Sus scrofa: one gene and its partner. The protein of the gene in region 1 purifies or fractionates together with the protein of each later gene. This does not show direct contact. Links are inferred from orthologs where the notes say so. Each region holds a gene or a part of one and is shown in the gene's direction. Other genes may lie near its edges.

Region 1 (3,914 bases):
GCCAGGGCACCGGTCCCACCTTTGGGTGACTGCCCCTGGGACCAGGACGAGACTCTTGGGGTGGCCACACCCCAGGGATGAGACCTCCTCTGGTGACCGTCTCTCAAGGGACTGGATGTGGCTTCCTTGAGGGGATGATACCCCAAGGTCAGGCTGAGGTCTCCTCGGGGTGACCAGCTCCTGGGGATGGACGCGGATTCCTCAGGTGACTGACTCCTGGAGACGGGAAGGGGCCTTCTCTGGGTGACCAGTCCACGGGGGCGCGAGAGGGCCTCCTTGGAATGACCGGCGCAGGGGATGACAATGGGGCTTTCTTATGGCCATCGGCGACGGGCCGGGCCTCCTCCTCGAGGCGACCAGCTTTCAGGATGAGAACTCTTCAGGGTGATCGGATCCCGAGGACACAACGTGGCCTCCTCGGGGTGAGCGGTTCGCAGCGGGGCCGGGAAAGGGATTGTCCGACTGGCTTCCGCGGACAAGACCGTCTGGGGTGACCGTACCCCAGGGATGCGAGGAGGCTTCCCCGGTGACAGCTCTAGGGGTCATAAAGCGGAGGAGGTGAGGCCGCCGCCCCGAGGCCTCCCGGAAGCTCGCGCAGACCCCGCGCACCGCCTGGGCCGGGCGCCCCTCCCGCGGGCCGGGGATCGTGTGGGTAGGGGTCTCAGGCTCCGGCTGCCCGCCCCGCCCCGCGGCACCGCCTCTTCCGCCGGCCCGCGGACGTCAGCCGTCGCCGCCCCGCCCCGCCCCGCCCCGCCGCTGCCGCCGCCGCCGCCCGCGCGAGGCCGCCTCCGCCTGGCCTGGGCCTGGAGCGGCGCACGGCGCAGGTCCCTCCCCGCCATGGCCCTGGGAGGCGGCAGCACATGGCGGCCGCAGCGGCCATGAGCGCGCCCGCGGCCCGGCCCGGCCCCCCCTAGAGCCCGCCCCCGGCCCCGGCCCCGGCTCGCGCCACGGCCCCGCCGCCCCCGGCCCCGCCGCCCCGCCGCCCCGCGCCCGCCGCCGCCGCCGCCATGGGCGTGCAGGGCTTCCAGGACTACATCGAGAAGCACTGCCCGAGCGCCGTGGTGCCGGTGGAGCTGCAGAAGCTGGCCCGGGGCAGCCTGGTGGGCGGCGGGCGGCAGCGGCCCCCGCACACGCCGCTGCGCCTGCTGGTGGACGCCGACAACTGCCTGCACCGCCTCTACGGCGGCTTCTACACCGACTGGGTGAGCGGCGGCCAGTGGAACCACATGCTCGGCTACCTGGCCGCGCTAGCCAAGGCCTGCTTCGGCGGCAACATCGAGCTCTTCGTCTTCTTCAACGGCGCGCTCGAGAAGGCGCGGCTGCACGAATGGGTCAAGCGGCAGGGCAACGAGCGCCAGACGGCGCAGCAGATCGTCAGCCATGTCCAGAACAAGGGCACCCCGCCGCCCAAGGTCTGGTTCCTGCCACCCGTCTGCATGGCGCACTGCATCCGCCTGGCGCTCATCCGCTTCCACGTCAAGGTGCGGCCCGCTGAGAGGGCGGGCGGGCTGGCCGGGGTCGGTAGGGGCCGACGGGCCGGCCAGGGGCAGGGTTGGAAGCCCGGGCCGGCCGGGGTCGCTTCAATTCAGGGTCAGGGTGGGCCGGGATCTGGAGTCCGCGGTCAGAGTTGGACTGGAGTCTGGAGTGGGCGGGTGGTCTGGGGTCCGGGCCTGGGTCTGAGTCTGGAGCCCGGGGCCGAGTCCGAGTCTGGAATCTGCGTTTGGGCCGGGGTTGGGATCTGGGGTCTCTGCGGGCCAGGAGCTGAAGTTGGAGCCGGGCTGGGGCCGGGGCCCCGGTGGGGGTCTGGGCCCCGGGGACCGCAGGTTCCTCTCCCCTCCTGGTCTGTCTGACGGACCTGCTGCAAAATGGACGCGCGGCCTGGAGTCCGGCCGGCGGCTGCGAGTGCCCGGGATCTGGGGGCCTGGGTTGCCCCAGGCGGTAGCTGCAAGCTCGGAGGGCACAGTGCCGCCCTTGCTGAGATCCCGCGTATTCCTCCACTCTTTAAAGCTCCTAACGTCAACTTTCATGAGACATTCGTTTTCGAATTTCGCAAGACTTGAACAGCAACAGGTTTTTTTGTGGGAGCAGGTGGGCTGGCTGGCAACAGGAAGGGGTCTCCATCCATTGAGGGTGGATTGAAGTTCTGCCTACTGCGGTCACTCCGGCTCAGCTGGGGGCAGTGACCTGGGCAAGGCCTGAGGAATTGGTCTCTTCTTGAGAACTCAGGCCTGGGTCCAGGTTCCCTGTAAGATGGTAGTTTTTCGAGAAATTGGTTTTTGTGTGCATTAGATTTCAAAGAGCCATAAAGTTTGACATGGAATTCTGTTAGTTCTGTACTGAGAGTCTGCGTGAAAAAGTCTTTGGTTCTGTGTATGTGATGTGAAACGAGTAGCTTAAAAGTCAGGGCGAAGAGAATGTGAATCAGAGTTTCCAGGATTTATTTCTCTGCACAGTGAAGAGTCTGCCACTTTGGGCTGTGCACTCAGGTAATCAGAGCTTCGACTGTCCAGCACTCTGCTGTCCATTTGGCAGAAGGCTCCTCCCTGAACTCAGGCCAAGGAGTGCTTCAGGACCCAGCAGTGATGGCAGAGATTACATGCAAATCAATGACCCTTGACTTGAGTTTCGATTGCTTCCTTTTCCACAGTGGTTCTTTTAAAAATTTTGGGGGGGGCTGTTTTGGTTTTCTGACTGCTGCCACTCTGCCTTCCAATGTGTTTGTCCTTCCTTTATTTCTGCTTGAAACTGTGCCTGATCCCAAAGTTTGTGAAATTCGAACTTCCTGACTGCTCTGCCTGTGCTGAGATGGTGGGGGTTAAGCCTAAAGTGATAGCGGAAGTCCCACCCGCCTCCTGTTGCAATTGGTGACAGGGCTGCTAAGTCTGCCGGTTGAGGCTGCTGCGAGAGCGTGGATTGGCCTGTGAGTGTGGCAGAGACCTAGCCTGCGTCCCTGGGGAAGTTCGGGTGAGAGCCGGGGACTGCCGCTGCTCTGCCCTGGAGCCTGTGCTCCCTGGAAAGTAAAACAGTACTGATTCCCAGGTGTGGTCCACCTTCAGATGATACCTTAAGAGGGTTAACAGTTGTCCAGAGATGGAAATTACTATTGAAAAGACTACGAGCTGTCTAGTAACGTGGCTTTCAGAAGAACACCTGAAATATTACTTAGGATTAGATTCAGTGTGTATACATGGTCGCTGTATCTGTTGAAAGGATGGCTGAATTCTTTTTTTTTTTTTTTTTTTTAATCTTTCCTAGGGCTGCTCCCTCGGCATATGGAGGTTCCCAGGCTAGGGATCTAACCTGAGCTGTAGCCGCCGGCCGATGCCAGAGCCACAGCAACGCGGGATCCAAGCCACGTCTGCAACCTACACCACAGCTCACAGCAACGCCGGATCCCCAACCCACTGAACAATGCCAGGGATCAAACCCGCAACCTCATCGTTCCTAGTTGGATTTGTCAACCACTGAGCCACGACGGGAACTCCCTGAATTCTTTTTTCATTGTAAAATTAGATTGTAAAATTTCTTGATATTTGTGCCTCTGCTCACTGCTCACTTTTACCTACTAAGTGCTCAGAATTTTGACCAGATCTTCCACTTAGGTTTCTGAATTCAAGGTAATTTTGTCTACAATTATTTTGCTTCAGATAGGCTTTTAACTTCTGATGTAGAATTACAATGTAGTACAGTTGTACACTTTAATATAGCAAGGACTCAATTCCCTGGTGGACACTTACCTGGCAGCTCACCTTTTTGGAAAATGCCAAAGAAATTTAAATGAAAGGTCAGGAAGTTTTGGTATTGTGACCCCAAAAGAAAAAAAAAGGCTTTCTCTTTTCTCATTGAAAAATCAGATTTTCTCCCTGTAGACTTCTCTTTCCTTTGGAGATGTAATTCTGATAAACTTAGTTATC
Region 2 (3,814 bases), on another chromosome or scaffold:
AAGAGTTTTTACCTTATGTATTTATGAACTTCTTTTTCTGAGTAAACACTGATGGCATTTTGATCTAAATGTATAGTAATTACACATTACTAATTTATTACATGAATATTTTATAAAATAAATAATAAACACTAAGGATTTATATCCCATATTGTTTCCAGCATTAAAAATAAACATTTGGAGTTCTCTTGACGCACAGCAAAGTAAGGATCCAGCATTGTCACTGCAGTGGCTCCAGTCACTGCTATGGCTCTAGTTCAGCCCCTGGCCTAAGAACTTCCACATGCCATGAGCACAAGAAAAAAAAAAAAAGTAAACATTCACCACATAGAGTATTAACTTTGTGAGTAAAACAATGTGTTTCATTTCAAAGATATGCTTTGAGAGGTACTCCTTCAAAAGAAAACACAGTCATTTATGTTCCTGTGAGAAGGCAGATGAATAACAATAGCTAATACTTACTGTGTGGTATGTACCAGTCCCTGTATATACACTTTAGGTGTCTTTGTTCTTTTAACCCTTAAAACAACCCTATGAGGTGGTACAGCTGTTAGCCCCATTTAACAGAAGAGGACATAAGACACAGAGAGGATAAGTCAACTGCCCAGTTTAATAAGTGGCTGAACCAAGATTTGAACAAAGAAGGTTCAGTTCCAGAGCCTCTGCTCTTAACTACCACTAGGCAAGATTTTGGAGCTTTCCAGACCATGTGCAAATTCTTACTCGCCCTTCATGATTTTGATAAGTTATTTGATTTCTCTAAGGCCCAGTTACCTTATCTGTGAAATAAGCAGTATAATATATGTACATCCTTGAAGAACTGTGAGAACAATAAGGTGATATATGTAAAGCAAATGCTCAGTAAATCAAAAATAGCGTTTTGGTTATGTTATTATTTGATTTTATCATTATTATGGTTATTTTCTAGTGCCTCATTTAGTTTGTGACATTTTTATTGCATTATTAAAAATAGCTGTAAATGCTGATCTCTTTTGGCAAGCAAAAAGAACAAGTAAACAAATTTTAACCTAGTTCTGAATCTGTTCAGTTATTAATTTTGACTTCTCTAAGATTATTTCTTTTAACTCTCATAGGTGTATGGAGATATCGAGTACTGCAGCATTATTAAGAATAAAGTAACTGGAGAAAGTAAAGGCTTGGGCTACGTTCGATACTTAAAACCATCACAAGCTGCCCAAGCAATAGAAAACTGTGATCGAAGTAAGGATGTATTCACTTATCATTGTTATAGACATTTGAAAAAAATTCTAATTATTCTAATAATCTAATACTGGTTTGTGCTTGTATCCCTACCTGCTAACTTAATCTTAGCAATAAGATTTAAAATACATATAGTTGTAGGATGAAAATTATTTGGGGGCCATGATTAAGTTTCCATTGGTTATTATTTCTACAGTTTTGGGGGGTTAATTAAATTATTTTAGAATTTTAAGTATTAAAAATTCTTTAATACTTAAGGTTGGATTGGGTTTTTTAAATTTATTCTCTATATTTTTAAGAAATTCAAGTATTTTGTAATATTTGTTCATGTTTGACCTAAACTCTAAATAGAACTGTGTACTAATAGACATATAAATAATAGGGATAGGGTTTAAGATTTACTAGCTTTGAGAAAAAAACATACATCAGGTTAATTTCAAGCTCAAGTGACATTAATCAGACCTTCTGCCATTGCTGTTATACGTTCTGAAGAATAAGATTTTTTTTTTTTTCTTTTTAGGGCTGCACCTGCAGCATATGGAGGTTCCCAGGCTAGGGGTCGAATTGGAGCTGCAGCTGCCAGCCTATGCCATAGCCATAGCCACAGCCACAGCGACGTGGGATCTGAGCTGCATCTGCAAACCACACCACAGCTCACGGACAATGCCAGATCCTTAACCCACTGAGCAAAGCCAGGGATTGAACCTGCATCTTCATGGATCTAGTTGGGTTTGTTAACCACTGAGCCACGAAGGGAACTCCTGAATAAGAATTTTAAAGAGGCCAAGGAAAATATTCTTTGTCATACTTCTAGTTATATTGACCTTTAGAAATGAGATGTAGAATAATTCAACTAGTGGGTTTCAGGATAGTATAAAAATTTATAAATATGGAAATAATTATTGTTAATTAGAACTGTTAGATAACCCTAAGAGACATATCAAAATTTTCTCTCAGATCCTTCTAAATTTTTCAATTAGCCAGCATTAATTGAATACCTATGGTATACTCATGAATATAAGTAGAGAGATACAAATGGCATATATAGCAACTCTGGCATTTAAGGAATATACAATTATGTTGGATAGTCACGATCTAATAATCAAAAAGTAGTTAAAGGGTAATAGAAGGGTTTTTTAAAAGCTTTTTGGTTTTTGCTTTGTTTTGTTTGTTTTGGTTGGGCCCACAGCATGTGGAAGTTCCTGAGCCAAGGATCGAATCCGTGCCACAGCAGTGACCCAAGCTGCTGCAGTGACTACACCATATCCTTAACCCGCTGCATTACAGGGGAACTCCTAAAGCTCTTTGAACTCCTAAAGCTCTGTCATGCCAGGTACCTAGTACTGTTATTAGTAATACTCAGTATAGTACTTGGGTCCTCAATTAAGGTTTATTGAGCTCTCTAGCAAAGATACTGCCATTTACAGAAGACTCAATAAAACTGACAAATGAAAAAATGTTCAAAAATGTGTGAGACAGGTGAATTCATGCTGTGGCTCAGTGGGTTAAGAATCCGACTGCAGCAACTTGGTTTGCTGAGGAAGTGAGGGTTCCATCCCTGGCCAGCAGTGGGTTAGAGGATCTAGCATTGCCACAGCTGCTATGTAAGTGGGCAGCTGCGGCTCAGATTCATGCCCTGGCCCAGGAACGTCCATATGCCACAGGTGTAGCCATTAAAAAAATTAAATTAAAAAAAAGTGTGAGATGGCCTATCAGTGGTGAAAAAAAAGTGCACTGAATGAAATGGGAATACATTAGGAGGTAGGGTTCGCATCTGGCATAGAATAGGCAGGACAAGATAAGAGCAGTGAAGACCGAGCTAGAAATAAAGATCTTTGCTTAATAGAGTGAAGGCAACAATCTGAGTAAAGCTTGGTATTCCTGTTTGAAAATTATAAGACAAAGTAAACTAGGTACTTTGAAACCATATATGGGAGATCATAAAGAGTTCAAGCTTAGTCCATGTTAGAATTTCCCTTGTATATTGTTTTATAAGGAGAAAAATAACAAAAACTGCTTTAGGACAGTTAATCTAACCACTGTACCAAGGATGCATTTCCAAAGAAAGAATTAAAAGAACGTGGTTTTATCCTTTTTGGAGCTACTGAATAATATAAAAGCTATGAACCTTCTCTTTTGAAATACGCCCATGTGCACATATGTATAAGCTTTTTTTTTTTTTTTTTTTTGTCTTTTTGCCTTTTCTAGAGCTGCTTCCCGCGGCATTTGGAGGTTCCCAGGCTAGGAGTCTAATCAGAGCTGTAGCCACCGGCCCGCGCCAGAGCCACAGCAGCGCAGGATCTGAGCCACATCTGTGGGCTACACAGCTCACAGCAACGCCAGATCCTTAACCCACTGAGCAAGGCCAGGGATCAAACCCAAAACCTCATGGTTCCTAGTCAGATTCGTTAACCACTGCGCCACGACGGGAACTCCTGTATAAGCCTTTTCTTTAAAGTTAGAGGATTCGTGGAACCCCTTCCCACCTTTTTGAAGTTCATTCTTGGACCCCCAGTTAAAACTCATGATCCAGAAGCAAAGAGATCAGTTGAAGGGTTGTTGTAATTAACTGAGAGAATCTAGTTTTAAAATG

What was found.
Region 2: the proteins of FAM120A (region 1) and RBM45 purify together in Homo sapiens (co-immunoprecipitation; 3 studies listed by BioGRID and IntAct, with this or other methods). This does not show direct contact. The link is inferred for Sus scrofa from reciprocal best matches to the Homo sapiens genes FAM120A and RBM45.

The regions. Positions count from the first base shown.
Region 1 is NC_010445.4:42,860,651-42,864,564, forward strand, and holds the start of FAM120A (constitutive coactivator of PPAR-gamma-like protein 1), read left to right. Parts: upstream 1-943; 5' UTR 944-1,007; coding exon 1,008-1,481; intron 1,482-3,914. UniProt on the Homo sapiens protein: Component of the oxidative stress-induced survival signaling. May regulate the activation of SRC family protein kinases. May act as a scaffolding protein enabling SRC family protein kinases to phosphorylate and activate PI3-kinase.
Region 2 is NC_010457.5:83,799,222-83,803,035, forward strand, and holds part of RBM45 (RNA-binding protein 45), read left to right. Parts: intron 1-1,094; coding exon 1,095-1,221; intron 1,222-3,814. UniProt on the Homo sapiens protein: RNA-binding protein with binding specificity for poly(C). May play an important role in neural development.